Linked DNA regions of Macaca mulatta. The protein of the gene in region 4 purifies or fractionates together with the protein of the main gene of each other region. This does not show direct contact. Links are inferred from orthologs where the notes say so. Each region holds a gene or a part of one and is shown on either strand. Other genes may lie near its edges. The genes, in order: LARP7, NTMT1, LRRC41 and DRG1.

What was found.
Region 1: the proteins of DRG1 (region 4) and LARP7 purify together in Homo sapiens (affinity purification with mass spectrometry; 3 studies listed by BioGRID and IntAct, with this or other methods). This does not show direct contact. The link is inferred for Macaca mulatta from reciprocal best matches to the Homo sapiens genes DRG1 and LARP7.
Region 2: the proteins of DRG1 (region 4) and NTMT1 purify together in Homo sapiens (affinity purification with mass spectrometry; 3 studies listed by BioGRID and IntAct, counting the BioPlex papers as one, with this or other methods). This does not show direct contact. The link is inferred for Macaca mulatta from reciprocal best matches to the Homo sapiens genes DRG1 and NTMT1.
Region 3: the proteins of DRG1 (region 4) and LRRC41 purify together in Homo sapiens (affinity purification with mass spectrometry; 3 studies listed by BioGRID and IntAct, counting the BioPlex papers as one, with this or other methods). This does not show direct contact. The link is inferred for Macaca mulatta from reciprocal best matches to the Homo sapiens genes DRG1 and LRRC41.

What each region holds. Positions count from the first base shown.
Region 1 is NC_133410.1:121,874,662-121,882,032, reverse strand, and holds part of LARP7 (la-related protein 7), read right to left. Parts: intron 6,823-7,371; coding exon 6,722-6,822; intron 6,605-6,721; coding exon 6,521-6,604; intron 6,389-6,520; coding exon 6,224-6,388; intron 6,144-6,223; coding exon 6,050-6,143; intron 5,982-6,049; coding exon 5,631-5,981; intron 5,539-5,630; coding exon 5,394-5,538; intron 5,355-5,393; exon of another isoform or gene 5,287-5,354; intron 5,225-5,286; exon of another isoform or gene 5,157-5,224; intron 5,059-5,156; exon of another isoform or gene 4,990-5,058; intron 4,882-4,989; exon of another isoform or gene 4,814-4,881; intron 4,747-4,813; exon of another isoform or gene 4,671-4,746; intron 3,665-4,670; coding exon 3,513-3,664; intron 2,733-3,512; coding exon 2,614-2,732; intron 95-2,613; coding exon 1-94. UniProt on the Homo sapiens protein: RNA-binding protein that specifically binds distinct small nuclear RNA (snRNAs) and regulates their processing and function.
Region 2 is NC_133420.1:17,994,129-18,002,217, reverse strand, and holds the start of NTMT1 (N-terminal Xaa-Pro-Lys N-methyltransferase 1), read left to right. Parts: upstream 1-4,040; 5' UTR 4,041-4,180; exon of another isoform or gene 4,181-4,290; intron 4,291-4,321; exon of another isoform or gene 4,322-4,423; intron 4,424-6,733; exon of another isoform or gene 6,734-8,089. UniProt on the Homo sapiens protein: Distributive alpha-N-methyltransferase that methylates the N-terminus of target proteins containing the N-terminal motif [Ala/Gly/Pro/Ser]-Pro-Lys when the initiator Met is cleaved.
Region 3 is NC_133406.1:194,277,941-194,285,311, forward strand, and holds part of LRRC41 (leucine-rich repeat-containing protein 41), read left to right. Parts: intron 1-3,400; exon of another isoform or gene 3,401-3,480; intron 3,481-3,592; coding exon 3,593-3,679; intron 3,680-4,631; coding exon 4,632-4,702; intron 4,703-7,371. UniProt on the Homo sapiens protein: Probable substrate recognition component of an ECS (Elongin BC-CUL2/5-SOCS-box protein) E3 ubiquitin ligase complex which mediates the ubiquitination and subsequent proteasomal degradation of target proteins.
Region 4 is NC_133415.1:20,089,038-20,096,408, reverse strand, and holds part of DRG1 (developmentally-regulated GTP-binding protein 1), read left to right. Parts: intron 1-4,630; exon of another isoform or gene 4,631-4,689; coding exon 4,690-4,859; exon of another isoform or gene 4,860-5,946; intron 5,947-7,371. UniProt on the Homo sapiens protein: Catalyzes the conversion of GTP to GDP through hydrolysis of the gamma-phosphate bond in GTP. Appears to have an intrinsic GTPase activity that is stimulated by ZC3H15/DFRP1 binding likely by increasing the affinity for the potassium ions.

The DNA.
Region 1 (7,371 bases), on a different chromosome or scaffold from region 4:
GAGCATCCTCAGGAGTTTTAAATCTAGCATGGCATTCTGTATCCCCTTCAAGCAAATCAACATAAAGAACTTCTGAGATTGCTGCCAAAGTATCCTGCATTAGAATTAAGTAGAAAGACAAATAAAATTTAAAATGTTTCACAATAATTCTAAAACTATTCCAATGGTTATGCCAGAATATATTATGTAAATAAAGCATTTTGCAGACTAATGAGGAGCAAATATCCTATATCAAACATTTCTTGTAAAGCATGTTCTTAAAAATAGATTTGAATAATATCAACTCTAACAATTTATTTTCCTTTATTTTCTTGAAATCACATCCGTAAAATCTGAACTAGAATGGGAATATTCTATAAGGACAACAGATTTGTAGAGCAGAAAGCAGAAATAGTGTCCCCCAATCCCCAAATCAGGAAGGGTTCACATCTGGGAGTAGTTAGTATAAGGAATAAAATTTAAAAAAAAAAAAAAAGGATTAAGGGAGGTTTGTTTTTACTCACCTGCAGAAAATCACTATGACTTTAAAATATGTGTACAAATCACTCAACTTTTAATAACAACTCATGAAAAACAGTTTTACTGAACCTAAGATACTAGGTTTCCAAATTGTTCAAGAGCTCTTACTTTCTGAAAAAAATACCTAAGCAACCTCTTCTAAACAAGTTGTGGTCACCCAGCAAGGAAAAGTTTTACCTACACTGCCTGCTGTGAGGGCAAATTAACCAGATTCCTGCATTCTTAATCAACTTTTTTTTTTTCCCTCACAGCAGGTTTTACAGAGTATACAATGCATTTATGCAGGAATGTTACACTAATTCCTAATTCATCAACTTCCATTCACAAAGCTAAAGAAATAACTGCAGATTCCTAAATGGGGGAAAAAAATCTTTCTTATCTTGCCTCACTTTAGTTTTAACCTACATTTTCAGGACACAACTAATTTAGATTATGTTCAAATGTTGAATTTTTAGATGTTTGATTTATGGAAAGAATTGAGCAATACCTGGGAGTATTATTTCATCATAGAATAAGACAAGTTTATCAGTTAACAATAAAAAATATATAATAAAATCTATGAATTTCTAGAAGCCAGGGACCAGATCTTAACTCATCCCAACACTCAGCAAACTAGCACAAAACAGGCATTTGGTAACTGTTTGCCAAATTAAAAAAAAAAAAAAGAACTGCAGAGACATATACTTGCTAGTCCTTCCCACTTCTTTATCTAATTAATTAGTACCAAATTTAGATATAAAGCAAGTAAAAAATTCAGTATTGTTGAAATTTGAATGCATTCAGTACTAGTAATGAGTTTTATAACTGACTTCTGAGCATATTCAATTACTACAACTCAAAAGATATTTACTAAATATCCATTATAATGTCAGGCTAATCTCTTGATTTAAAACCCTCAGAATTTAAAACCCATAGAAGGACAAATTAGCCTAGTAATCACATGGGCAAGTCACAGACAGCTGTAACCACCATCACAGCTCAGTTTTTGTTTCAGCAAAATGTAAGTAACTACTAACTGGATTAATGCAGGGATTGATTTTATGATTTTGATGATCATAAATGATGAATTTGTAATTGATATAGTTACCATTTAAATAATAAAAGTTATTTAATGAGTGATTACAAATAACTGAGTAATTTTTTTTATTAAATGTTTTGCAATCTGATTAACCAGAGCGGTATTTACATCCCTCAATTTTCAGCTGTCTCCTGAAATGCAAGTTGGTAATAGCAATTTGGATTTGGCCAAATCCTTCACCAATATTGGAAAGAGAATCAAAATTTGTTTCTTAGTGACAGCTATAGGATTGTAGGACAGCATTTCAGATAAGGAGTGCTTACAGATAAACAACCACCTCAATGATATTCAAGTTAAAACCTGTGACTGATGAGTCTATGTGAAACCAAAACAATATACTAAGTGATGATGAATGTCAGTATAAGAAAATACTTAAAATATGTGGTATGTTACAGAGCATTTCACACTTTTTAAAAAGAAAAGGATTGACTTAAATGGGTCACAGGCAGGGTAAGGGTAAATAAGATACGGTACTCTCACATAAAAGTATATACTTACTTTTCCCTAATAGAAAGAAGTATTGCTACCAGTGTGGTATAAAAGGCTATAGAAGATAGACTGTACAAAACGAAAAAAAGATTATAAACCTGTGTGTACAGCAATTTGTAGCGTAAATTATATAGAACTATGGGTTTTTTGGCACATGTGTGAAAGATTTCTATAGGTCTTCAAAAATATTTTACACTTTTCTATAATTACAATTTTAAAGATAATCAGCACATAGGTAATACAAAAAAATAAATCCGTGCCAATAAAAATAAGCAAAAGTTACAATTTTCCTATAAAGAAGGATGTTTAAACTGTGCTTACTATAAAATGGACTCAGTGAAGAATTTCAGTCTCTAGTTTTTGCTTCAAAATTAAACCTAAGAGTTACCATGGAATTAAAACTGTACAGGTAGTTTACCATAGAGATACAAATTCTAATTTGATTTATCTTCCATATTCAAAACATTATCACACAGGGAAGTTAAGACAAGAAAGGAACAAATACCCTACGGGCTCAAAATCATTACCCGGACTTGTTTCCTGCCAGGTAGAGGCTCTGTGCTAATGATCTTCACAATCACTCCACTCACGAACTGTGGTCCTGTTGCATTAACTTTCTCCTGGGTGGGACACTCTTCACTGTTGGCTGTTGATTAGAAGAGGAAAAAGACCAGCACTAAATCTCTTACACTTAACAATTTAATACTTGGGAGGACTATCTTAGAATAATTCCTGAGGCAGATTTAAATAATTTAAAACGTATTTAATTTTAAAATAAAGTTTATTTTATATGTCATACTGCTTATTTCAAAATACCATGAAATAAAATCCAGAAAGGTTTATTATTCTACATGCAAACTGTTACTGCTAGAAGAGCACTGGTAGTCTTTAAGTTTGCCCCTTCTCCCTGCACAAAGGAACAGCAAATTTTAACTCAATAAAGTTAAAAAAAAATTATAGGATACTGTTTTAAATAATTATTCCAACGTGAGCATCATTTATTTTTACAAGAAATGATAATTTAAGATGTATCCTAATTTTGAATTCGTAAGAATTTTGCTTTAACTTATTCCTGCTTGTGGTTCATACTACAGAATGAAATTACAGGTGAGAACTACAATCTTCATTCCTACAAACTTGTTCAGTCTACAAACTGCACTCATGTGCTTAAATGAAAACTGTAGAGAAAACTCAGGTTATTTAAAAAATTGTTTTAAATGAGCCTTTTAAATGTTCTTATATCAAGAGTAAATAACATATCTGGATAACTTAACAAATCAAGAATTGTTCTAATAATGACACAGAATAATCAAGTTTTTTAAAATTAAAGTTTATCTTGTAACAACTCAGAGATAGCATTTTCATACATAAGTACATTATAAGTCAAAACTGTACATTATAAGTCAAAACTATCAGTGATCTTTACTTTTTTCATTTTTCATTCCAGTCTTTTGAGGTACTCCACCGTCTGTTTCCATTTCTGACTCTGATTTTATTTGGGATATTGTTTTTTTTAAAGAAGCCATGCTAGCTTTTTGTAGCGCTAAATACTCTTTTTTCAAATCCATCCATTCGCTCCTGCAAGGAAAGAAATGAAATAGTGATTATAGACGACTAAATATAAAAAAAAATATTAAAATATAAAAAGTAAATATGGGAATATCTAAATATATACATTCACAATGACTTGGAGTAACTCCTCCACCCAACTTTCTTGTTTCTTTAAACACATATTCAAAATATTTCCTGGGTTCTAAAGACATTTAGCAAATAAGCTAAGGGAGTTCCTCTTCCCCCAATATTCAGATTAAACGTTTTAAGATTGCCAATTACATTTTTGAGTGTGTCTGAAGTATTTTAATTTATAAAAGTAACATTTTAGCATTGATTCCTTAACTAGTAACATTTACTAAATCAGTCATCTCTGTGGGAAAAGCCCGAGATTAAAGATTTGTTAAACTGCTTCCAATTTGAGAGATAACATTCCTTAGTATTTACTTGAATCAAAAAGAATTTCTAAGTAGAACAAAACACCCCATGGAAGCATTCTATTTATTTACATATATTTAACATGTAGATGTTTCTTCAAACAGCTAGAGTTCCTCCAGATAGAAACACAATGCCTCTCTTGGCTTAGTGGGAGCACTCATTGTTACCCTAATCTATGCCATCAAACAAGCAGATAGATTTTCCTTTTTTTTTTTTAAAGAGGAAGATATCTTGTGGTAATGGTTTTAGCTGTTAACATTGACATCTGTATACTTCCAAAAAAAAAAAAAAAAAAAAAAAAGGATCCAGACCCACCCAGGATCATACATTCCCCAAGAGCTGATACATTAAAATAACAAAAGGCCCTTGTAATGATTCTCTGAGATAAAAAGGCAAAAGGAATTCAGGAGTTAAGAATAGTATAAATAGAAGTGGCTGAAGTCCCTGCCTTTTACCCTTCTGGAGGAGGACAGGAATCTTTGGGAACTAATTCAGGAAGGTAAGGAAATATTTTTCTTCAAAAGGTATGCCATTTTGTTTTCTTTCTCCTCAGCTTTAACTACTCTCAAGTCCCAAAGAAGTTGTATGTGGGTGGGCTCCCTTCAACTTTAACATGGAAGTGCTTTCTGTGACTTTAAAATAAGTAAGTGCTTCCATGTTTTAGTAGGAGTGAATCCAACTTACTTCTCCAAAATAGAACATGCTAACTTCACTCTCCTTAAGAGGTTGAAGGGATCCCCTTTGCTTTAACATGGGGGTACCTGCTGTGTGAAACAAAAGTAAGTGCTTCCATGTTTCAGTGGAGGTGTCTCCAAGTCAGCACACCTTTTGTTAATTTTTTTTGTTACTGTGTTTCAAGCTTACTAAGCTTGTTACAGGTTAAAGGATTCTAAGTTTGTCCAAGACTGGGCTTCCCACCACTTAAACGTGGATGTACTTGCTTTGAAACTAAAGAAGTAAGTGCTTCCATGTTTTGGTGATGGTAAGTCTTCCTTTTACATTTTTATAAGGTTTTTAGAAAAGGATTTTATTCTCGTTTATTTAAGCTTTATTTTGTATTTTTAAGTCTGTTAAGGTGCCCCCTCTACTTTAACATGGAGGCACTTGCTGTGGTAAGACAAAAATAAGTGCTTCCATGTTTGAGTGTGGTGGTTCCTACTTAATCATCGATTGCGTTAACGCCCACATTGTGTGCAGTTCTTTGCTACAGGCCACTACTGTTGCTAATATGCAACTCTGTTGAACACAAATTGGAATTGCACTTTAGCAATGGTGATGGATTGTTAAGCTAATGACAGGATTTAAACCACAGACTTACTTTGATAGTACTCTTAATGGTATAACTTCTTCTCCCATTTTATGTCTCTCTTTATGTTTTTTCTTGTGTTTCCTTTTTGTTTTTAAGAGAGAGCTGTCTTTTAGATCTCCAGTATCCTTCTCCTCTTCAGTAGAGATTTCTATATCTTGAAATAAATAAAAAAGCCAGTTAAGACTTGCGGCTGTGAAATGGGTGAAACAGAAGCTTAATTTATATAAATAAAACCTTGCAGTTTACCTCTATTTTCCTTGGAAGCTTCTGAAGGTTCCTTAATGATGTCTTTCTGAATAATTTTCTTTACTTTTGATCGCGGACCCAGGGACTCTGCATCTTCAGAGCTGCTTCTCTTCCTCTTGCCTGTTCTGACTTCAGGTAAGCTCGATGCTTCAACTCTGTCCCGCTTTTTCTTTTTCTTTGAGGATTGCTTTTGGGGTTCAGTAGACTCAATGTCAGAGCCCTCAGATGTGGGCCTGGATCTTTTCATTTTACTGATGCTGGTGTTGGTTGTGTCCATATTTTCCTCTTTGGCTTGGACATTGTCTTCCTTTTTCATTCGGCCCTTCTTCTTCTTTTTCTTTTTCTTCTCTTCTGTAAAAGTGCCATCATTAGTTCATCTTACTTCAATTACATCTACTTAAATATTGAAAAATACTCACCCACAACTCTTAAGGCTGGAATGGGCTTATTTTTCACTGTTTTAGGAAATATGCCAGGTTTTCTTGGTGCTTCTTCTGGTGGGTTGTTAAGAAACTGAAATGATTGAAAAAAAGTTTTACTATTTTAATACTTGTTATATCTATACATTTTTTTTTTCTAGGATCTGGACCTACCTCAATTGCCTTTGCTGCTTGTTCTTTTGTTTCAAATTCCACAAACGCAAATCCCTTTGGATCTCCAGTAGACTTATAATGTGGTATACTGATATAAACAACATTGCCACATTTCCCAAAGACTCTTTCAATCCAGCTGTGATTAACATTTTTGGGAAGTAACTCCTGTGATAAATTAAAAGCAATATTAAATAGTTTTTTGCAATGCTTATATTTTCAGAATGTCAATAAGTTTTTAACTTAATTACATTGTTTCTGTGCCAGTTTCTGACTGGGGACCCGGGCTCTTAAGCTTACCACATACACAGTGCGCTCATCCTCATCTTTTGGTCTTTCCCCCAGAGGTTTTTTCCTCCTGATTCTGGTGCCTTCCAAATCAAGCTTTAAAAGAGTATTATTACATTAATAAAACTATAATAAACTATAATAATGATCATTACGTTAATATTATTTATAAACTATAATTATATAGTAATGGCAGTCATTCTTAATTCTTACCTCTACGACAGCTGAACTTCTTAATGCTCTGGCAATTAACTTCCCATCAGTAGTCAATTTTTTCATTTTGTTAAAAGACACAAGTAGTGATATATCAACATCTAATGAAAATGAAAAAGTTAATAATTGTGTTAGTGTACACTATCAGCAGGATTAATTCAATCTGGTACAATTTAACCTGCCCCTCAGGCCGGGCTTGGTGGCTCATGCCTGTAATCCTAGTACTTTGGGAGGCCAAGGCGGGTGGATGGGGGAGTTAAAGATCAGCCTGGCAAAAAATTAGGCTGGGTGTAGTGGCACATGCCTGTAATGCCAGCTACTCTGGAGGCTGAGGCAGGAGAATCGTTTGAACCCAGGAGGCAGAGGTTGCAGTGAGCTGAGATCACACTGCACTCCAGCCTGGGAGACAGACTTTGTCCATTAACAGTATTGTTGTGTGAGGGTCTAAATGGTATTGCATATTTGGCATACCTAAAATGACACATCTTAGTGTATGTAATTGCAGATTGAGGTTTTATTGCTTAGCAACATCCAGACATTCAAAGAGGATGTCTGGATCCCATCCTATTAGAAACAAGCACATGGCTGGTCATTTGAAATTTATCAACTGGGGACAGTGGCTCAATGCCTCTTATCTCAGCAATTTAGAG
Region 2 (8,089 bases), on a different chromosome or scaffold from region 4:
ACAAAAATTTGCCGGGCGTGGTGGTGTGCACCTATAATCCCAGCTACTTGGGAGGCTGAGACAGGAGAATCGCTTGACCCTGGGAGGCGGAGATTGCAGTGAGCTGAGATCATGCCACTGCACTCCAGCCTGGGTGACAGAGACTCCATCTCAAAAACAGTAATAATAATAATGATTCAAGGCCTGGGTGCTAGGTGTGCTTCTTGCTATTGAGATGTCATTTGTTTCAGGCAGTCTCAGCTGGCAGACAAAGAAATGTGCGTGTTTACTATTACACACACAGATCTATAAATATTTCTATAGGTAACCATCTGTACTTATATTAAGCTAAACATGAGCTCATGCTGACATCTCCAACTCTAATCCATTACACGGATCATTTGAGACTCTGTCTCAAAAAAAAAAAAAAAAAAAAAAGAGGCCAGGTTGCACTGGCTAATGCCTGTAATCCTAGCACTTTGGGAGGCCAAGGCAGGCGGATTGCCTGAGCTTGGGAGTTCGTAACCAGCCTGGGCCACATGGTGAAACCCCGTCTCTACTAAAATACAAAAAAATTAGCCAGGTGTGGCAGCGTGTGCCTGTAGTCCCAGCTACTTGGGGGGCTGAGGCAGGAGAATTGCTTGAACCCGGGAGGCAGAGGTTGCAGTGAGCTGAGATCGCGCCACTGCACTCCAGCCTACAGAGTGAGACTCCATCTCCAGAAAGGAAAAGAGAAGAGAAGAGAAGAGAAGAGAAGAGAAGAGAAGAGAAGAGAAGAAAGAAATTAACATACCCACTTTCAAGTCCATGGTCTGCTGTTTTGCTGTGTGATACTGGAGAAGTGTCTTTTTTCTCAGGACTCCCTGGGCCTTATCTCTGAGTCTTGGCTGGGAGAGGGCCGAGAGGAAGCTCATAGAGTATTGTGAAGCTGGGGTGGGAGACAAAGGTCATTTACATGAGTATTTCACTGGCATGGCATAGTTTCATAATTTGAAAATGAAGAAACGACTTTGTAATTCAAATAACAGAGTGACTCACTAGAGGACACATCGCCAAAGATGTATTCTATTTTCTGTCAATGCTTCTCACCAGGGATGGAGGGACATACTTTCTTGGAGAGCTACAATATTGAGTGGGGGAGGGAGATATTTTTGTATTTATTTAAAGGGTATGTGACTTTTTTTAATGGCTGAGAAACACCAGATTAACTAGATGGTTTTTTGTTTTTGTTTTTTTTTGAGACGGAGTCTCGCTCCGTCAGCCAGGCTGGAGTGCAGTGGCGTGATCTTGGCTCACTGCAAGCTCTGCCTCCCAGGTTCACGCCATTCTCCTGCCTCAGCCTCCCGAGTAGCTGGGATTACAGGTGCCCGCCACCACACCCAGCTAATTTTTTTGTATTTTTAGTAGAGATGGGGTTTCACCGTGTTAGTCAGGATGGTCTCAATCTCCTGTCTCAATCTCCTGACCTCGTGATCCACCCGCCTCGGTCTCCCAAAGTGCTGGGATTACAGGCATGAGCCACCACACCCGGCCTAACTAGATGTTTCTAAAGAGCCCTCCAGACCTTGCACTCTGCAATCATTTATCAAGCAACTACTATGTGCTAGGCTTGGGAATTCAGAGATGCCAGAGGCTTTGAGGTCAGGGAGCTGGCCAGCCCTGGGAAGGCCTTGGAGTCTGGGTGTGGGGAAGGGGCTTGCTCTTCTGTTGACAGGAAATAAGATAGGGCTGGATTTTTAGGCATGCAGAGTTTGGACCAGAGCTGCCCCCTGGTGGAGGATTCCAGACACCCCCAGCAATTGAAATTGCCCAGGATCAATTCCTTTGCGTAGAGACACAGAAAATGAAGCTTGCTCAGACCAGGGGTAGCAGTTAGGACCTAGAATAGTCTAGAAGGGATGCCAAATAATATGCACATACACACGTTCTGCGGACTCAATGCAGATGTGGCTTTTTGGCATCCCCTTTCTCCCGTAGCTTTCAGTACATTTAGAGCAAACACACTTTAAGCACCTTCTGTGTGCACTGCTCAGAGGAAGGCATTGGAAACCTAACACCAGAATATTATTATTTTATTTATTTTTGAGATGGAGTTTTGCTCTTGTCACCCAGGCTGGAAAGCAATGGTGTGATCTAGGCTCATTGCAACCTCCACCTCCCAGGTTCAGGCGATTCTCCTGCTTCAGCCTCCCGAGTAGCTGGGACTGCAGGCATGCACCACCACGTCTGGCTAATTTTGTATTTTTAGTAGAGACGGGGTTTTGCCATGTTGGCCAGGCTGGTTTCAAACTCCTGACCTCAGGTGATCTGCCCGCCTTGGCATCCCAGAATGCTGGGGTTACAGTTGTGCACCACTGCACCCTGCCAAAACCAGGATGTTATTAATAGTTTAGGAAAAATGACCTTAGGGTGAATATTGTCATTATAATAGCTTCCATTTCCTGAGAACCCACTGCAGGTGCTGAGCTGAAGGTCTGGTGTGCAGTGTCCCACAAGTTTAATCCTCTCAGAGCATCAGAAGTTGAGTAATGATTACATTGCTCCACTTCTTCTGGCAGGAGACTGAAGCTCGGAGATGTTAACAGGCTCTACCCACCTGCAAGCTCGTGTTTCCATCACTGCTGCCTCGGAGATAGCTCCAGAATTTCTTTGCATGGGAGGAGCCGAGGGAAGGGCCATGCTTTTGGAATGGAAATTTCATGGGCTTGTTCTGCTTATTTGGGTGGGAATCCCATGGCACTGCCAAGAGTATTTTTTATTTTATTTATTTTTGGGGGGTCGGTATTATTTTAAGATGCTAATGGAGATGGGTGGATTTGAGGACCAATGGCTTTTTTCCCCTTCTTACTCAAAGCCCAGCCTGCAGCCTCCAAACGAACTGTTGTTCGTGATGGGGATGAAGAGAGGGCAACGCCGCGGCTCTTTTCAGTTCGGGAGGTCCTTCCAGATTCCCAAAAGTCAATTTAGTCAAGTTTTGAGCTGTAACCTGTGTTGGGCGCGGTGGCTCACGCTTGTAATCCCAGCAGTCTGGGAGGCCAAAGTGGAAGCCTTGCTTGAGGCCAGGATTCAAGATCAGCCTGGGCAACAGGGTGAGACCCCGTCTCTAATTTTTTTTTTAAAGAAGTCAAATTAGGCCGGGCGCGGTGGCTCACGCCTGTAATCCTAGCATTCTGGGAGGCCGGGGCGGGCGGATGACGAGGTCAGAAGATCGAGACCATCCTGACTAACACGGTGAAACCCCATCTCTACTTTAAAAATACAAAAAAAATTAGCTGGGCGTGGTGGCGGGCGCCTGTAGTCCCAGCTACTTGGGAGGCTGAGGGAGGAGAATGGTGGGAACCCGGGAGACTGAGCTTGCAGTGAGCTGAGATAGGCCACTGCACTCCAGCCTGGGCAACAGAGCGAGCCTCCGTCTCGGAAGGAAGGAAGGAAGGAAGGAAGGAAGGAGGGAGGGAGGGAGGGAAGGAAGGAAGGAAGGAAGGAGGGAGGGAGGGAAGGAAGGAAGGAGGGAGGGAGGGAGGGAAGGAAGGAAGGAAGGGAAGGGAAGGAAGGAAAGGAAGGAAGGAAAGGAGGGAGGGAGGGAGGGAGGAAGGGAGGAAAGAAGGAAGGAAGGAAGGCAGTCAGTCAAATTAGGCTGGGCGCAGTGGCTTACGCCTATAATCCCAATACTTCGGAAGGCAGAGGCGGGAGGATGACTTGAAGTCAGGAGTTCGCAACCAGCCTGGCCAACATGGTGAAAACCCGTCTCTACTAAAAATACAAAAATTAGCTGGGTGTGGTAGCTCACACCTGTAGTCCCAGCTACTCTGGAGGCAGAGGCAGGAGAATCGCTGGAACCTGGGAGGCGGAGGTTGCAGTGAGCCAAGATCGCGCCACTGCACTCCAGCCTGGTTGACAGAGCAAGATTCTGTCTCAATTTAAAAAAAAAAAAAAATTAAGTTAAATTATTTTTCAAAAGAAGTCAGGCTAAATCCGGAGCCCGCGGGAGGGGGGCGAGCTGAACGAGGAGGTGGGGCCAGCCGTGGCCCCGCCCCTAAACGCCCGGAAGTGACGTTAGCGGACAAAGGCAGCGCGCGCCGCGAGCTGTCGCGTCTGGTCGTGGTGTGGCGGAGCTGCGGTTACCTTGTGGGGTCTCCGCCGCTGCCGCCCTCCCTTCCTCTTCCCCATCTTCTTCTCTCGGTCCCGGGAGCCCCCGCGCGGAGTGAGTAGCGCGAGGCGGTGCGAAGGGTAGGCAGCCGCCGGGAGAGGGGAGGCCGCGACCCCTAACTGCTTCGGCGCCCTGTGGGCCCCGGCTCGTCACGTGACCCGGCGCGTGCGCGAGGGCCGGCACGGGCCCCACGTGCGCGTTCCCAAGCGGTCCACGGGCCGGACCTGGGCAGGGACTACGGAGCAGTCAGTCCATGGGTTGGGGTACAGGAGGAAAGTCAAGGCACTCAAAGCCCAGGCAGGGCACTCCCCCACCCGGGTCCCCAGACCGCAGCAAATCCCTTTCTCTGAGCCTGTTTCCCCTCCGAGAAACAGGGATATGGAGAGCGCCCACTCGGAGGATGGATGGGAGGAATCGGTAAAATGCCCAGTTCAGAGCCTGGCACAGTGAAGTGCCCGTTGCACAGAAGTTGCCGTCGTATTTAACCTTGGGTCCCGCCCCAGCGCCAGCCCGACACAGGTGCAGCTCAAAAAAGACACCCCCAGAACCCTTGCGGCCAAGGTCAGCCTGTCTGCAGGGAGGCTGCCATATCGAAAAGCCCAGGCTTTGCTGCCCACCAACTGTGTGATCTCTCTCTCTGGACTTCGGTTTCTCCTCTCTATTGTTAAGTGATTGCCACAGCTGGTGTCAGAGGCCCTGACAGCGGGGAGGGACAGTGTAACCGGTGGTTGTGGTGTGTAGAATGATTGCCCAGTGAGATGGGATGAGCCTCTGGGAGGAACCAGGGCTGGGATAAGGAGCCTGGAATCCCTCCTTAATTCTGTTCTCGGCTTCCTGTTCGTATGTTTAAAGACACATCGTTTCCTTTAGTGTGCTGGTTTTTCTCTCTGTAAACTGAGGACTGCGTGGGGGTTGGAAGTAACGCATGGAGTGTTTTGGTGGAGGCCGGAAGCCCTGGGATCACAAAGATAGCATCTAAAAAATCTCGGTGGGGGTTCTGTGCTTACAGACAGAGGAAGCTCACTCCTCACTCTGGCTGATTTGCAGAGCTGTTTGAGTCTGCTGGATTGGCCGCCCAGCATACCAGTAACAGTCCCCTAGGTGTGTCCAACAGTACAGCTTCTATGGCATTCTAAGGCACTTTTCCCATTTGATCCTCATAGTGCGCAGAGTTGACAAGAATCTCGTTTGACGGAGAATTTCTAAGCTCAAGAGAGAATATGTGCCTGGCACTGTGCAAAGCACTTTAAGCTTTTCGTGTGCACTTTTAATCACAGGCTTTCTGTAAAGTCGGTATTACTGCTCCATTTTATAGATGAACTGAGGAATGGTGAGGTTTGATGTCTTATCTGAGCTTAACACAGCTGGTGAGCAGAGCCAAGATTCAGATCTGGTTCATCCGACTCCATCAGAGTCTTTGTTAGTTTTTAAATGTATCCCCTGTTTTGTCTTCTTCCCTCCCTTTTTCCCTTCTTTCCTTTTCTTAGAGCACTCTGCCATTTGCATGTGGCCTGCTGCTGTCCACAAAGATCCAGGGAGGATGGGTTCTGTCCTGTAGGCTGCTAGAGGGTGGAGGTCACTTTTAGGCAGGCTTTTCCGTAGAGACTTAACATGAGTAGGATGAGATGACTGCAAAAGTCTGCCGGTGACAGTTTCAGCACCGTTTTCTTCCATGGGTCGTGGGAGAAGAGACGCAGTAACTGGGGCAGCTGCGTGGGTCTGAACACCTTGGCGGGGAGGAGGAGGCAGCAGCTAGGTGACCGTGAAGGATGTAGGATCACATTTACTGGCTGAGCAGGCATTTACCAGGCGTGAGGGGTTTCTCTTCCTCTCTGAGCTAGCCTAGAGTTCACACAAAGCCAGGGTGCTCCTGGCCTCCTCCCAGGCCCTGCAGCCACATGGCATCTGTCCTCTGGAGCAGAGTGTAGCAGGACCTCCTGCTGTTGGCCGACCGACCTTGCTGTTCCCTCGGACTCTTAGGGACCTCCTCCTGCCCCACTGCAATCTGGACAGAATGTAGCCAGGACCCTAGGAATCCCATTTATTAATGAATCAGCTGTTAGGACAAATGTCAAAGTCAGGCTCGCTATTTCCCTGCCAATATGTGCCTCCCCTGGCTTTTTCCTAGAATTTGCGTGTAGGTGGAATTCTTGTAAATTAGATTATTTGGGGGACCCTGACATTTAAAGGAATCATGTTACAAGGCTTTTGGTAAAGCACAAAATTATGTTGTCGGTAACAGCCTTCAGTATTACCAGTTTTGAATGGTTGGACTTTTGTCTGTAGGATTTTCTTAGAAGTGGAAAATGGCTATAGCTGCACAAAGCCCATTGTATTATTTGGCAACCAATTAGTCAGTGCCCACCTGGTGTCAGGCACTGGTCTAATCGATACGCGTTTGCCCTCAGATTTATTCTGTTCATTTGATCAGAGATTAACTTTCTGTTGAATATCTGTGTTTCGTGGGATGCAAGAGAAGCATAGTGATAAATCTCAAATGTTGCCATTGCTCTCTAGGAGCTCCCAGGCCAGGCGAGAGATAGAACTGGATACAAAACCTTCAGTTTACCAAGACTGGTGGGTGGTGAGAGGGAGACGGGCTTGCTCTCGCCGTGCTCCAGTCTGAATGGGAGTTGTGCTAGCATGGTGTGGAAGAGTAGTATTTCGTTTTTTAACCTTTGTCTTTAATTTTCCCAGCCACCAAGTGTTTTTTATTTTTTGAGACAGGGTCTCGCTCTTGTCTAGGCTGGACTCAAACTCCTGTGCTCAAGCAGTCTTCCCACCTCAGCCTCCCAAAGTGCTCAGATTATAGGCATGAGCCACTGCACCCAGCTGTAGTTTTGAATGCCATCCTCTCTGAGTGACTGATGGAGGGCTGTGACATGGTTGCTCTGGTGCCTGCTGGCAGAGGGGCAGGCAGCCCACCTGACCTGGTCCTTACCCCGTCAGACCATAGCAGCCACCAAACCCGGCTACATGGTGACATTCAGGTTGGTGGCCCTTTTCCCCGTCAGCCACCATGGCAGATCTAGCAGTCTTGAGGATTGGCAGGTCTGGTGGGAACAAGAATTAATTCTTCTTTTTTTGACACACTGTCTCACTCTGTTGCCCAGACTGGAATGCAGAGGCAGGATCATGGCTCACTGCAGCCTTGACCTCCCAGGCTCAAGTGATCCTCCCACCTCAGCCTCCCTAGTAGCTGGGAGGTACTAGAATGTGTGTGTTTTTGATAGAGACGGGTTTCTGAGCCATAGGCTGCTTTCTCCTTCCAGCAGTGTTGTTCCCAGTGCTGGGAGACCAGTGTGGGAGCTCTGTGGTCAGCTTGCGGGGAAGGTGTTATGTGCAATAAGTAGAACTAAGGTCCTCCCCAGCCTGTTACCCCAAAGGGCTCCCTGATTGGTGCAGTGATGGCTGCCTTTCTTCATTGTGGCCCAAACCCTGTGTGTGAACGGTAAAGTGAGGGGTCAGTCTGCGAGTGGATTCAAGAATCTGAAGAGGGAAGCCAGGCCCAGTGTCATACGCCTGTAATCTCAGCTACTTGGGAGGCTGAATAGGGAGGATGGCCTGAGCCCGGGAGTTTGAGGCCAGCCTGGGCCACATAGCAAGACCCCATCTCAAAAAAACAAGAATCTGAAGAGAGGTTTAAGTAGACTTCTCTAGGCACAGCCAAAGGGTTCTGCTGAGGGTGAAAAGACCCAATCACGGATCTAAGAAGAACCGGGCCCCGGTAGAGCACATGGGTCTTGTCAGCTCTCTCTGGACCCTCAGAAAGCTGGCGTGTGACTTTGTCAGTGAAGAAAGCTCAAATCTGCTGAAGGAGTCAGGCACGGTGTTGGAGAGGAGGGACCCCGTCCCCTCTGTTCTCAGCAGCCACAACAGGCCTTTCCCTGTTGCCCCCACTGGCTGGCTGGGTCTCCGGAAAAGGCTGACCAGTTACAGAAGGAGAATTGCATCCGTTAGAAG
Region 3 (7,371 bases), on a different chromosome or scaffold from region 4:
TCGAGGTTGCAGGGCGGGGGGTTTGAGTTATGCCATGAGGAGGGGGTGTGGGGAAAAGGCCCTGGAGTTTGGGGGCGCTGCAGCTCCGGGATAAGCTGGAGGGTGGTCGGGGAGGGCCTTGGCTGTGGGAGTGGAGCCCAGTACGGTGAGGCCGGAGTGTCCTGCATAGTGGTAGTGGAAGAGGCTGTTAGAAGTTGGGCCTGTGTGCGGAGGGGACACTGGAGGCTCCAGGCCAGCCAGAGGCTGAGAAGACAAGGGGCAGGCCCACCCATGGCGAACATGAGGAAAGTCTCCGTTCTGAGCTGAGCAGGGAGCTCAGAAAAGTCCTAGGGCATGGGGAAGAAGGCAGACGGGGTCTGGCTTGTCTGCCTGGAGCTTCTGGGATGCTAAGACTGGCTAAAAAGGAAGATGACTGGGTGTGGAGGCCCAGGTTGGGAAGCAGCAGCATTAAAGGTGCAGGCTAGAAAGAAGCCAGGAAAATCCCGGCTTAAGAAGAATGGAGAAAGGAGGGGATGAGAATTCCTGTGGCTGTGAGAAGGGATGGCTAACTAGAGGAGAGCAGGTTGGAGGGGCTCTGAGGAACTTCTTCCCCTGTTGCTTCTTCCCCCCAAAACAATTGACAGTTTACTGAATCTCCATTTCCCCTTCTCCCTCCCCCATCACTGCTGTATATACCACCATCCCATTACTGGCTGAGCCCCCAGCGAGGTTGAGAGGAGACAGGGGAGGAAGAGCTCCTGTGGGCCTAGACCAGAAAAAGCTGAATCAAGTGAGGCCTTTTAGGAGAATAGCCAAGGAAGAGGCCTGCTAAGCATTACTATTTTGGAGGAAAGTCTCAGTGTGGGCTAACAGCCAGGAAAGTCTTCCTGGAGGTAGTGAACTAGCATCGCTTTGTGTAAGGAGTTGGGGCAGCAGAGGTATAGAGGCAGCAGGAAAGGGTACAATGAGGAAACTTAAGTAGAATAAGGTATACTATACCTTGAATACCAGGATGTGGAGTTTGGACTTTATCATGAATGCAGCAGAGAGACCTCCAAGGGTTTCGAAGAGGGTAATGTCATCACCAAGAGCAGGATGAAGAGGGACTGGATAGAGACTGAAGTGAAGGAGAGCAGTTAAGCTGTTGTAATAGACCAGATGAAAGGTGATGTGGACTACATTCGTGTGTAAAAGCATAGGGAATTAACACTTTCATTCAGCAGGTACATTGAGGACATACAATGTACAAAGAATTATACTAGATTCTTGATGTCAAGATTCAGTTATTCTGTAAATAAAAATAAAAAGAGACCCTGGGGCGGAAGTTTTGGTATACTCCAAGATCTTAGACTTGTTCTTTTTCTTTGAGATGGGGTCTCACTCTGTCACCCAGGCTGGAGTGCAGTGGCATGATACCAGCTCACTGCCACCTCTATCTTCTGGGCTCAAGCAATTCTCCCACCTCAGCCTCCCAAGAAGCTGGGACCACAGGTGTGCCCCACAACACCCGGCTAATTTTCTCTGTATTTTTGGTAGAGACGGGAGTTTCCCATGTTGCCCAGGCTGGTCTCAAACTCCTGGGCTTAAGCAATGTCCCCCACCTCGACCTCCAAAGATTACAGGGATTACAAGTGTGAGTTTGACTTGTTCTTGATTGGACAGAGATGCCACTGACAGGATAAAAATAACAACCAACATTTAGTGAGCTTATTATGGCTGGGCATTATTTTAAACAGATTATAAGCATGATCTTCCCAACAATATCATGAGTTAATTACTGTTATCTCCATTTTATTTTATTTTTGAGACAGAGTCTTGCTCTGTCGCCCAGGCTGGAGTGCAATGGCGCCATCTCAGCTCACTGCAATCTCTACCTCCTGAGTTCAAGCGATTCTTGTGCCTCAGCCTCCCACGTAGCTGGGATTACAGGCATGCATCATTACACCTGGCTAATTTTTGTATTTTCAGTAGAGACGGGGTTTCACCATGTTGGTCAGGCTGGTATCAAACTCCTGACCTCAAGTGATCTGCCTGCCTTGGCCTCCCAAAGTGCTGGGATTACAGGTGTGAACCATTGCATCCCACCTATTTTTTATTTTTTGAGGCAGGGTCTTGCTCTGTCACCCAGGCTGGAGTGCAGTGGTCTAAGCACAGCTCGCTGCAGCCTCAACCTCCTGGGCTCCAGCCATCCTCCCACCTTAGCTTCCCAAGTAGCTGTGACCACAGGTGCACACCATCACACTCTGCTAATTTTTGTTTTGTTTTGAGATGGGTTCTCACTCTATCACTTGGGCTCAAGTACAGTGGTGTAAGCATAGCTCACTGTAGCCTCGAACTCCCGAGCTTAAGCGATCCTCTTGTCTTAGACTCCCAAAGTGCTGGGATTACAGGTGTGAGCCACTGTGCGTGGCCTCCATTTTTTTCCAGTTGAAGAAACAAAGGCTTAAAGAGGCTTAAATAATTTGTCCAAGGATTCACATTTAACTAAATAGTTAGAATTTCACCCAGATTTTTCCTACTCTAGAGGCCAAACCCTTTAGACACTATACTATAACAGCTCTTAGAACTAGAGAAGTTGGCAAGAGCAGGTTGTTTTTAAGATATATTGACTTTTGGCTGGGTGCAGTGGCTCACGCCTGTAATCCCAGCACTTTGGGAGGCTGAGGCAGGCGGGTCACGAGGTCAGGAGATCGAGACCATCCTGGCTAACACAGTGAAACCCCGTCTCTACTAAAAATACAAAAAATCAGCCGGGCGTGGTGGTGCGCTCCTGTAGTCCCAGCTACCCAGGAGGCTGAGGCGGGAGAATAGCATGAACCCGGGAGGCGGAGCTTGCAGTGAGCCGAGATCGCGCCACTGCAGCCTGGGCGACAAAGCGACACTCCATCTCAAAAAAAAAAAAAAAAAGGTATATTGACTTTAGAGACATGAATTGTTTCTCTTCTTCATAGGAAAGTACTAATTCAGGATATAGCAGTAGCCCAAAGGATGGTAGTGGTTAATCTGGAAGAATGGGAAGGGAATTCAGGAAAGACTTAATAAAGGGCATGTGATACTTGAAAGATGAGTAGTTGATATAGTGAAAGTGGCAATGACATTCCTATTAGAACAGCATGACAAAGGACATTCCTGTTGGAAAGAACAGCATGACAAAGGTACAGGGGCAGAAAGCAGCATGTTAGGTAAATGAAAAAGTAGTTAAGTGTGGCTGAAATGTAGGAGGCAAAGCAGGGAGCTGATACTAGCAGGGCAGATTATGAAAGACCTTTTATCACACATATTCAGTAGGTGCTTTTCAATGCAAAATGGTTCATTTTGCTTGGGCAAAGTGAACTGACCAGCTCCTAAAAAGCATGTCAAGCTCATTTAGCATGTCAGCTTGTTTTGTGGGATGATCTCACCCTGGCCCCTGAAATTCCAGCTTCCAACTGAGTGGCTGAAGATAAGTGGACTAGAGTTTGGAACAGATCTAGATTAGCTTCTAGAGGCTCCATTTGTCAAGTGAGAAGTCTACCCTTCCATTTTCCTTTCCAGTAGAATAAATAATGCTTGGAACCCTCTTGAGGGGGAGGGGGAGGGGAGGAAAAGTAAACTTTTGTTTTGATTTTTGTAGCCCTCCCAGGCCCAATACTTCAAAGCATCCTACCTCTGCTCAATATATATTACTTGGAGAGGATTGAGGAAACTGCCCTCAAGAAAGGTGAGTATCTTTCTGTCTCTTTCTCAGTCAATGATTATGAGCAAGGCACCATAATGTTCTTCAGGTAAATATTACACCTGATACCTGCTAGAACTTCATGCTTTTTTTTTTTTTTTTTATACGGAGTCTTGCTTTGTTGCCCAGGGTGGAGTGCAGTGGTGCAATCTTGGCTCATGGCAAGCTCCGCCTCCCGGGTTCACACCATTCTCCTGCCTCAGTAGTAGTAGCTGGGACTACAGGCGCCTACCACCACGCCCGGCTAATTTTTTTTGTATTTTTAGTAGGGACGGAGTTTCAACGTGTTAGCCAGGACAGTCTCAATCTCCTGACCTCGTGATCCACCTTCCTTGGCCTCCCAAAGTGTTGGGATTACAGGCTTGAGCCACCGCACCTGGCCTTAGAACTTCATGCTTTTCAAAAAGTACCTTCACACCTATTTTTCTTCCTCATTCCTCAGTGTCCTGTGAAACACAAAGCCAAGTATATGATCTTTATTATACTGATAAAAGTGAGACACAGGCACACCACAATTAATAGCAAAGCCAGAACAACCCAGATCTTCCGAATCTTAGTTTCTCTATTTTACCAAGCTTCCTCCGCTCATTAGACACATCTGTTAACAGCTAACATTGAACCCTAATGTGTCAAGCACTGTCCTAGGCACTTTACCTAGAAAAACTCATTTACTCTAATCCTTTCAACAACCCTATGAAATAGCTGTTATTAACATTTTACAGATGAGGAAACTGAACCACAGAGAAATTAAGTAACTTGCCCAAAGTCACATAGCTGGAGTGTAGTTTGCTGATATTCACACCCAGGCAATCTGTCTTTAGAGCCAATGTTCTTAATCACTCTGCCATATTGCTCCTGTGAACCCGGAGGACAACATTAAAGGTTGATGTACTTATGGTGGCCAGCAAGCAGCCAAGTGTGATATTTCTCCTTACAGGCCTCTCCACTCAGGCCATCTGGCGCCGACTCTGGGATGAACTGATGAAGACACGGCCTTCCAGTTTGGAAGTAAGTTATCAGGTAGAACACTAGCCTGATTTTGCATGGTAAAAGCAGGAATAGCACACAAACACAAGCTGGGTACTGGTAAAGTGCAGAGGCAGTGATGGAATGGATGTGGGAGGAGGGCTCTGATGGCTTGTCACAAGGTTTTGGTCCATTTGGCATTTGTCACTGAATTGCTTGCTCACCATATTTGCAGGGGACACAAAACAGGGAAAGTTAGTGATCACAATGGATGGCAGAGCCAGGATTCCTAGAGTTCTTGATGCAGTGGTCAAATCTAACAAAATGAAATTTAATAGAATACACCAATACTTCAATGAGTTTTAAAAGTTCCAATTGCATGGCCTCAGGATGTGGGATAAAGTAGTCTGCTTAGTAACAGCTTGTATAAAAAAGATTAAGGGAGTTTAGTCAACAATATGTTGAAGCCACTCATAATGACTATACCTTGAGCTGTGTGAACTAGTGTAAATATAGTATAGGCTGAAGGACAAGGTGGACAACAGTCAACAGTCCTGCCTAGCTCTGCAATGGTCAGGCTACCCATGGAGTATGGAGAAAGAAGTCAAAGCCACATTATGTGAGTCAGATTGGGAAGACTGGAGATGTTTTTCCTGAAAAAGAGAAGACTTGGGAAACATGACCCATCTTGAAATATATGAATGGCTGTCACATGAAGGAGGGATTAATAGACTTGTTCTGGATGGAAGCTAATGGAAAATACATTTTTGCTAACCTGAAGTTTATGTAAAGCTTAAACCCTGAGCTTATGAAACAAGCTAATTCTAGAGGTAATAAACTTCCCATCACTAAGTTCAAATGGAGTCTGGATAACTCCTTGACACATAGGTGTTCTGCAGGGGATTCAGCATTGTAAAAGGGGTTGCACAAGATGACTTTTAGGGCTCCTTTTAGCCCTGGGATTCTATTATTCACTGATACAGATATAAATCACTGGAGCTCTCATTTAAGCAGAGCTTCTTTTACTCCCCCATAACTAGGTGACGGGGTAGATTTAATTCAATAAACATTTACTGAAACTTAACCAGGTACCAGATCTTGGAAGAATAGATGCAGCCTCTAATCTTTTTTTTTTTTTTTTTTTTTTTTGAGACGGAGTCTCGCTCTGTCGCCCAAGCTGGAGTGCAGTGGCCGGATCTCAGCTCACTGCAAGCTCCGCCTCCCAGGTTTACGCCATTCTCCTGCCTCAGCCTCCCGAGTAGCTGGCACTACAGGCGCCTGCCACCTCGCCCGGCTAGTTTTTTGTATTTTTTAGTAGAGACGGGGTTTCACCGTGTTAGCCAGGATGGTCTTGATCTCCTGACCTCGTGATCCGCCCATCTCGGCCTCCCAAAGTGCTGGGATTACAGGCTTGAGCCACCGCGCCCGGCCGCCTCTAATCTTAAAGACCTACCAGTTGTTTTGTTTTGTTTGAGACAGAGTTTCACTCTTGTCGCCCGGGCTGGAGTGCAATGGCTCAATGCAACCTCTGCCTCCCGGGTTCAAGCAATTCTCCTGGCTTAGCCTCTCGAGTAGCTGGGATTACAGGCATGTGCCACCACACCCAGCTAATTTTTTTGTATTTTTAATAGAGACAGGGTTTTTCCATGTTGGTCAGCTGATCTCGAACTCCTGACCTCAGGTGATCTGCTCGCCTTGGCCTCCAAAAGTGCTGGGATTACAGGCATGAGCCACCGTGCCCGGCAAGGACCTACCAGTTTAATAGGGAAATCTACAAATAGATCACATATGATAGGATAAGTGGTGTAACACAGGATAGTAAGGAGGTTGAGAGACAACAAGAAAGTCTCTTCTAGGAAGTAGTATTTGAACTGGGCCTTCTATGGTGAATGAGGCCAAATAACAGGTGGAAAAAAAGCTAATGTCAGGAATTGGAGATTTAATTTCTGGGGATGCACTGGGTTCAGTAACATTGAGCCCCATCTCCTTCAGCTTATTCACTTCCAAATCTGGACTGCAACCCTTGAAGTTCAGAATGAGGACACCAGGCCTTATGAGGAAGAGAAGCAGACTCAAGAATATTAGAAAAGAGTAACTGCTTTTTGCTATCTTTAAGGAAACATCAGATTCACTTTGTTCCAGTATTTCACAAGCAGTATAGTTGACCAGCAGGTGATAAAGATTATATTTTTCTCTTGGAGAAAGCTTTCTGGAAAAGAATGTTTATTATCCTGTCTTCTTGGCTCAAAGCATTTCAGAGCATTTAGAGGCCCCAGGCTTGGTGGCCCAACAGTCAGTTAGGCAGAGGTCCTAACTTGGAGCATATCTGTTCCAGAGGGTGTCTTCCGCTTCCCACTTTTGCATGACAATAGCCTTCAGCTCATAGTCACAAACACTTATTCAGCACCTGCTCAGTTCCATGTATTATGCTAGGTTCCAGGGATACAATCAATGGTGAGCAAGATAAATATAGATATAGAATGCTTATAAAGCAATAATATTTCAAACTGTGTAGTCCTGGGGTATATAAAGAGATCTGTGAGGTCAGGCATGGTGGCTCACACCTGTAATCTTAGCACTTTGGGAGGCTGAGGCAGATGGATTGCTTGAACCCAGGAGCTCAAGGCCAGCCTGGGCAACATGGCAAGACCTCATCTCTACTAAAAATACAAAGAATTGGCTGGGCATGGTGGTGCATGCCTGTAGTCCCA
Region 4 (7,371 bases):
AGTCTCCCAAAGTGCTGAGATTACAGGTGTGAGCACCTGGCCTACTGTTTATTTTTTCTTATGGTTTGTGCTTTTAAAGTTTTATTTAAGAAGTCCCTATCTTTCCTTAGGTCTTACATATAGTCTCCTGTTTTTTCTATACTTTTGGGTCCTTTATTTACCTGGAGACTACTATGATATTAGAAGGGTATCCAATTTTAATTTTCTCTGTATAATGGGCCACTTTCCCCAACACCTTCTATTTTTTTCTCCTTTGATTTGTAGTGACTCCAAACTCTTCACCTATATTGTCACTTCCTTCGTGATGCCTTGTCTCTAGCATTATAGCCCCATCACTGGCCTTCCTGCTGCTATCCTGCTGCTCTGTAGTATCTTCTCACTACAGCTAGAATGATTGTGTATAAGAAGTCAGATCAGTCTAGGCATGATGGTTCATAATTGTAATCCCAGCACTTTGGGAGGCTGAGGCAGGCAGATCACTTGAGGCCAGGAGTTCCACATTATCCTCGCCAACATGGTGAAACCCCATCTCTACTAAAAATACAAAAATTAGCTACTTGGGAGGCTGAAATGGGAGGATCACTTGAACCTGGGAGGCGGAAGTTGTAGTCAGGTGAGATGCCACTGCACTCCAGGCTGCGTGACAGAGTGAGACTGTCTCAAAGAAAGCAAACAAAAAGAAGTCAGATTATGTCATTTCTTGGCTGTATCTTCTGATGTTTTCCCGTATTATTTGGGATGACACCCAAAGTCTTTACCGTAAATGACCTGACCCCTGGCTGCCTCTCTGACCTCTTTTCTATCACTTCAGTCACTGGGCCTAAGATATCACTGGCCGTCCGTGCGCGGTGGCTCACAGTCTGTAATTGCAGCACTGTAATTCCACAGTCTGTAATTCTAGCACTTTGGGAGGCCGAGGCAGGCGGATCACGAGGTGAAGAGATCGAGACCATCCTGGCCAACATGGTGAAACCCCACCATTTTTATTAAAAATATAAAAATTAGCTGGGCATGGTAGCGCGTGCCTGTAGTCCCAGCTACTTGGGAGGCTGAGGCAGGAGAATTGCTTGACTCTGGACGGCAGAGGTTGCAGTGAGCCGAGATCGCACCATTGCACTCCAGCCTGGTGACAGCAAGACTCTGTCTCAAAAAAAAAAAAAAAATAGCTGGATGTGGTGGTGTGTTCCTGTAGTCCCAGGTGTTTGGGAGGCTGAGGTGGGAGGCTCTCTTGAGCCCAGGAGGTCAAGCTGCAGTGAGCCGTGATCATGGCACTGCACTGCAGCCTGGGCAACAAACAGAGACCCTGTCTCAAATAATAATAGTAATAATAAGGTCAGGCGTGGTGACTCAAACACCTGTAATCCCAGCACTTCGGGAGGCTGAGGCGGGTGGATCACCAGGTCAGGAGATCGAGACCATCCTGGCCAACATGATGAAACCCCGTCTCTCTACTAAAAATACAAAAATTAGCTGGGTGTGGTGGTGTACGCCTGTAGTCCCAGCTACTCAGGAGGCTGAGGCAGGAGAATCGCTTAAACCTGGGAGGCGGAGGTTGCAGTGAGCCGAGAGATCGCACCACTGCACTCCAGCCTGGCAACAGAGCAAGGCTCCGTGTCAAAAAATAATAATAAAAATAAAATCATGGCCAGGCATGGTGGCTCACGTCTATAATTGCAGCACTCTGGGAGGCTGAGGCGGGTGGATCACTTGAGGTCAGGAGTTTGAGACCAGCCTGGCCAACATGGTGAAACCCTGTCTGTACTAAAAATACAAAATGTAGCCAGGCATAGTGATGCATGCCTGTAGTCCCAGCTACTTGGGAGGCTGAGGCAGGAAAATAGCCTGAACCGGGGAGGTGGAGGTTGCAGTGAGCTGAGATCATGCCATTGCATTCCAGCCTGCATGACAGAGTGAGACTCCATCTAAAAAATAATAAATAAAATCAGGCTGGACATGGTGGCACATGCGTGTAGTCCCAGCACTTTGGGAGGCTGAGGCGGGCAGATCACCTGAGGTTGAAAGTTTGAGACTAGCCTGACCAACCTGGAGAAACCCTGTCTCTACTAAAAATACAAAATTAGCTGGGAGTGGTGGCCCATGCCTATAATCCCAGCTACTTAGGAGGCTGGGTCAGGAGAATTGCTTGAACCCAGGAGGCGGACGTTGTAGTGAGCCGAGGTCTCACCATTGCACTCCAGACTGGGCAACAAGAGTGAAACTCTGTCTCAAAAAAAAAAAAAAAAAAAGTCTTACCACTGAGGCTGGGCATGGTGGCTCACGCCTGTAATCCCAGCACTTTGGGAGGCCGAGGTGGGCAGATCGTGAGGTCAGGAGTTCAAGACCAGCCTGAACAACGTGGTAAAACGCCATCTCTACTCCATCTCCAAAGGAAAAAAAAAAAAAAAAAGAATGAGGGTCAGGTGCAATGGCTTATATCTGTAATCCCGGCAGTTTGGGAGAGTGAGGCAGGAGGATTGTTTGAGGCCAGGAGTTCAAGACCAACCTGGGCAACATTGCAAGACCCTGCCTCTACAAAAATTAAAAAAGAAAAAATAGTCATGTGACATGGCACACATGTGTAGTCCAAGATATTCAAAGAGGCTGAGGCAGGAGGATCAGTTGAGCCCAGGAGGTAGAGGTTATAATGAGCTATGATCATGCGACTGCACTCCAGCCTGAGTGACAAAGCAAAAGCCTTTCTCTTCAAAAAAGAGAATTTAAAAAAATGAGGAACTAGAAAGTTGATGGAAGCAGAATTTTTTTTTTTTTTCCTGAGATGGAGCTGTTACCCAGGCTGGCTGGAGTGCAGTGGCATGATCTCGGCTCACTGCAACCTCTGCCTCCCCGGTTCAAGCGATTGTTGTGCCTCAGCCTCGTGAGTAGCTGGTATTACAGGTGTCCACTACCACGGCCAGCTAATGTTTTATTTATTTACTTATTTTTGGAGATGGATTCTTGCTCTGTTGTCCAGGCTGGAGTGCAGTGGCGCAATCTCAGCTCACTGCAACCTCTGTCTCCCGGGTTTAAGCGATTCTCCTGCCTCAGCCTCCCAAAGTGCTGGGATTACAGATGTAAGCCACTGTGCCTGGCCAGTTTTTGTATTTTTAGTAGAGTCGGTTTCACCATGTTGACCAGGCTGGTCTTGAATGCCTGGCGTCAGGTGATCTTCTCGCTTCAGCCTCCCGAAGTGCTGGGATTATAGGCGTGAGCTCCCATTCCCAGCTGGAAGCAGAATTTTTTTTTTTTTTTTTGAGACGGAGTCTCGCTCTGTCGTCCAGGCTGGAGTGCAGTGGCCGGATCTCAGCTCACTGCAAGCTCCGCCTCCCGGGTTCGGGCCATTCTGCTGTCTCAGCCTCCTGAGTAGCTGGGACTACAGGCGCCCGCCACCTCGCCCGGCTAGTTTTTTGTATTTTTTAGTAGAGACGGGGTTTCACCGTGTTAGCCAGGATGGTCTCGATCTCCTGACCTAGTGATCCGCCCGTCTCGGCCTCCCAAAGTGCTGGGATTACAGGCTTGAGCCACCGCGCCCGGCCTGGAAGCAGAATTTTTGACAAATGAATTTTAATATAGAAATAGGCCAGATACTGTGGCTCATGCCTGTAATCTTGGCACTTTGGGAGACCAAGGCAGGAGGATTGCTTGAGGTCAGGAGTTAAAGGCTACAGTGAGCTATGATCATGCCACTGCACTGCAGCCTAGGCAATAGAGTGATACTCTGTCTCAGTCAATATAAATATAAGTATGTATTAATAAAAATAAGATATTCAGGCACAAAATACTACATTTTTTTTTTTTTTGTACAGATTGAATCTTACTTTGTTGCGCAGGCTGGTCTCAAACTCCTGGCTCCAATCAGTCCTTCTGCTGCAACCTCCCAAAGTGCTAGGATTATAGGCAGGAGCCACTGTGCTGTGCCAAAATAATATATTTTATATGATTTCATTTATATGAAATTCTAAAAAGTGCAAACTATGGTGGCAGAAAGCAGATCAGTGGTTGGCTGGGAATAGTGGGGAAGATTGAAAGGAGTTAGTTACAAAGGAATGCTGTAGGTGATGGAAATATTCCGTGTCTTGATTGCTTAGGTGGTTACACAGGTATATACATTTGCCATCGAACTGTGTGCTTTAACATGGATATAATTAAAAAAAAGTTGTACCTCATTAAATTTGGTTTAAAATATGCTAACCAAGGGTGGGCGCAGTGGCTCACGCCTGTAATCCTAGCCCTTTGGGAGGCTGAGGTGGGTGGATTGCCTGAGCTCAGGAGTTCAAGACCAGCCCAGGCAACATGGTGAGGAAATCCCATGTCTACTAAAATACAATTAGCTGGGCATGGTGGCACGTGCCTGTAGTCCCAGCTACTCGGGTGGCTGAGGCAGGAGAATCGCTTGAACCCGAGAGGAAGAGGTTGCAGTAAGCCAAGATTGTGCCACTGCACTCCAGCCTGGGCGACAGAAAATGTATCAACTCTTGGGCAAATATGTGCTGATTTCATGGCATACAAGGCAAATTGACTTCTGGTATAACTCTTTTGTAGCTATAAGAACTTCGTGTATGTATGTATGTATGTATTACAAAAAAATCCTTTGACACTTAAATGTAGGGGGAAAAACACCTCTACTTGAGTATTTGGGTTAGTTAAGGCTTTATTGAACTTTCTTGGGTATGTTTTTTTCTTACTCTTCAGTGGCCCGAACCTGTAACTTGATCTTGATTGTTCTGGATGTCCTGAAACCTTTGGGACATAAGAAGATAATTGAAAATGAGCTGGAAGGCTTTGGCATTCGCTTGAACAGCAAACCCCCCAACATTGGCTTTAAGAAGAAAGACAAGGGAGGCATTAATCTCACAGCCACTGTAAGTGGGGAAGACGACATGGGGCAGGCTGCTGCAGGAATAGGAGTGGGGAGTGGATTAGGGTGCATGGACATTGACATTGGAAAATTTCTTGGCTTTTCCCTGCACTAATTGAGATAGCACAGTGACTTCATAATGACTGACAAGAAAGACTTCAAGATTAGGGTAGGAGCCAGTCTCAGACTTACCTTTGCTGCTTATTTCCTCTTTTGGATTATCTATTAGGGATGATATGGGAGTGTGAACCAATATTATGCTTGCATAAAGTACATGGCCGCCAATGTCTTCTGTTTTCATTCATTTAACACAAATTTATAGAGTGCCTACCATGGGCCAAGCATTATTTTAGGCTCTGAGCAGGAATGGAAGAGGGAATAGTGAAACCCCCTGCTTTTATTTTCTAGTTGGATAGAATAGCAAATATTAATGAGTAAAATATAATGTATTAGTCAATGATAAATGTGAGAACACAAAGTAGGGAAAGGAGATAGAGTGTTGGTGTGAGGGTTGCGGTTTTAAGAACGTTGGTCAGGGAAGTCTTCACTGAGGTAACATGAAGGTGTGAACCAAGTGGATATCTTGAAGAAGAGCATTTGCTTCATGCAGAGGAAACGTCCAAGTGGAAAGGTACTGAGGCAGGGCATGTCTTCCCATGTTTGAGGAACAGCAGAATGAGCAAGTAAGAGAGTAGTAAGAGATGAAGTCATAACATAGGGACATATGTGCTTTTACTTTACAGGAGATGGGTAACTTGGTTGAGTTCTGACCCACAAACATGATTTGACTTAGGTTTTAGTGGAATAATTCTGACTCTTATGTTGAGAATAGATTGCAGTAGGTTAAGAGCAGAAACAGAAATAATTTAAGAGGTTATTGCAATAACCAAGAAGTGATAGCTTCCTGGACCAGGGTTGTGACAGTGAAGGAGTTGAAAAGTGGTTGGTTGTGGAAAGATTTTGAAATAGCTGATAGTAATTACATCTGGATTGGGTATGCATTGTGAAAGAAAGAGTCAGAGATGCCTGTTTTGTTTTTTGTTTGTTTGTTTGTTTACTTATTTAGAGATGGAGTCTCACTCTGTCTTGCTCTGTCACCCAGGCTGGAGTGCAGTGGCGCGATCCTGGCGCACTGCGACCTCTGCCGACCAAGTTCAAGAGATTCTTCTGCCTCAGCCTCCTGAGTAGCTGGGATTACAGGTGCCTGCCATTGTGCCCGGCTAATTCTTGTATTTTTAGTAGAGACGGGGTTTTACCATGTCGGCCAGCCTGGTTGATCTCATTCTGTCGCTTAGGCTGGAGTACAGTGGTACAATCACTGTTAGCTCAAACTCCTGGGCTCAAGTGACCCTCCTGCCTCAGCCTTCTAAGTAGCTAGGGCTATAGTCACATGCCTCCAGGCTTGGCTTTTTTTTTTTTTTTTTTTTGGTAGAAACGGAGATTTGCCATGTTGCCCAGGTTGATCTTGAACTTTTGGCCTCAAACTATCCTCCTGCTTTGGTCTCCCAAAGTGTTGGGATTACAGGTGTGAGCCACCATACCCAGCCACTTTTTTTTTTTTTTTTTTTTGTACTGAGCTAAAAAAAAAAAATGAACTCTTTTTACTAAAATGGTAGGACTTTTGGTAGAGTAGGTTTGGAGGGAAGGAGAAGATCAGGATGTTAAGTTTTAGATGCCAGTTAGACATCTAGGTGTTTCTGTCAAGAAGGCATGTGGGGTAGGTTGGGCACAGTGGCTCATGACTGTACATCTATAATCCCAGCACTTTGGGAGGTTGAGGCAGGAGGATCACTTGAGCCCAGGAGTTCAAAACCAGCTTGGACAACAAAGCGAGACCCCATCTCTACTAAAAAAAAAAAAAAAAGGCATGAGGAATTATTTAGGCTGCATGAGGAATTACCTAGACTGGATATATAAATTTGGTGATTATCAACTTTAATGTCATGGACCTAACTGAGATCACCAAGGATGTGAGTATAGATAGAAAAGAAAAGAGAGTCAGGCGTGGTGGCTCATGCCTGTAATCCCAGCACTTTGGGAGGCCAAGGCGGGCAGATCACAAGGTCAAGAGATCGAGGCCGGGCGCGGTGGCTCAAGCCTGTAATCCCAGCACTTTGGGAGGCTGAGACGGGCGGATCAGGAGGTCAGGAGATCGAGACCATCCTGGCTAACACGGTGAAACCCCGTCTCTACTAAAAAATACAAAAAACTAGCCGGGCGAGGTGGCGGGCGCCTGTAGTCCCAGCTACTCGGGAGGCTGAGGCCGGAGAATGGCGTAAACCCGGGAGGCGGAGCTTGCAGTGAGCCGAGATCGCGCCACTGCACTCCAGCCTGGGTGACAGAGCCAGACTCTGTCTCAAAAAAAAAAAAAAAAAAAAAAAAATCGAGACCATCCTGGCCAACATGGTGAAACCCTGTCTCTATTAAAAACACAAAAATTAGCTGAGCATGGTGGCACACGCCTGTAATCTCAGCTGCTCAGGAGGTTGAGGCAGGAGAATCGCTTGAACCTGGGA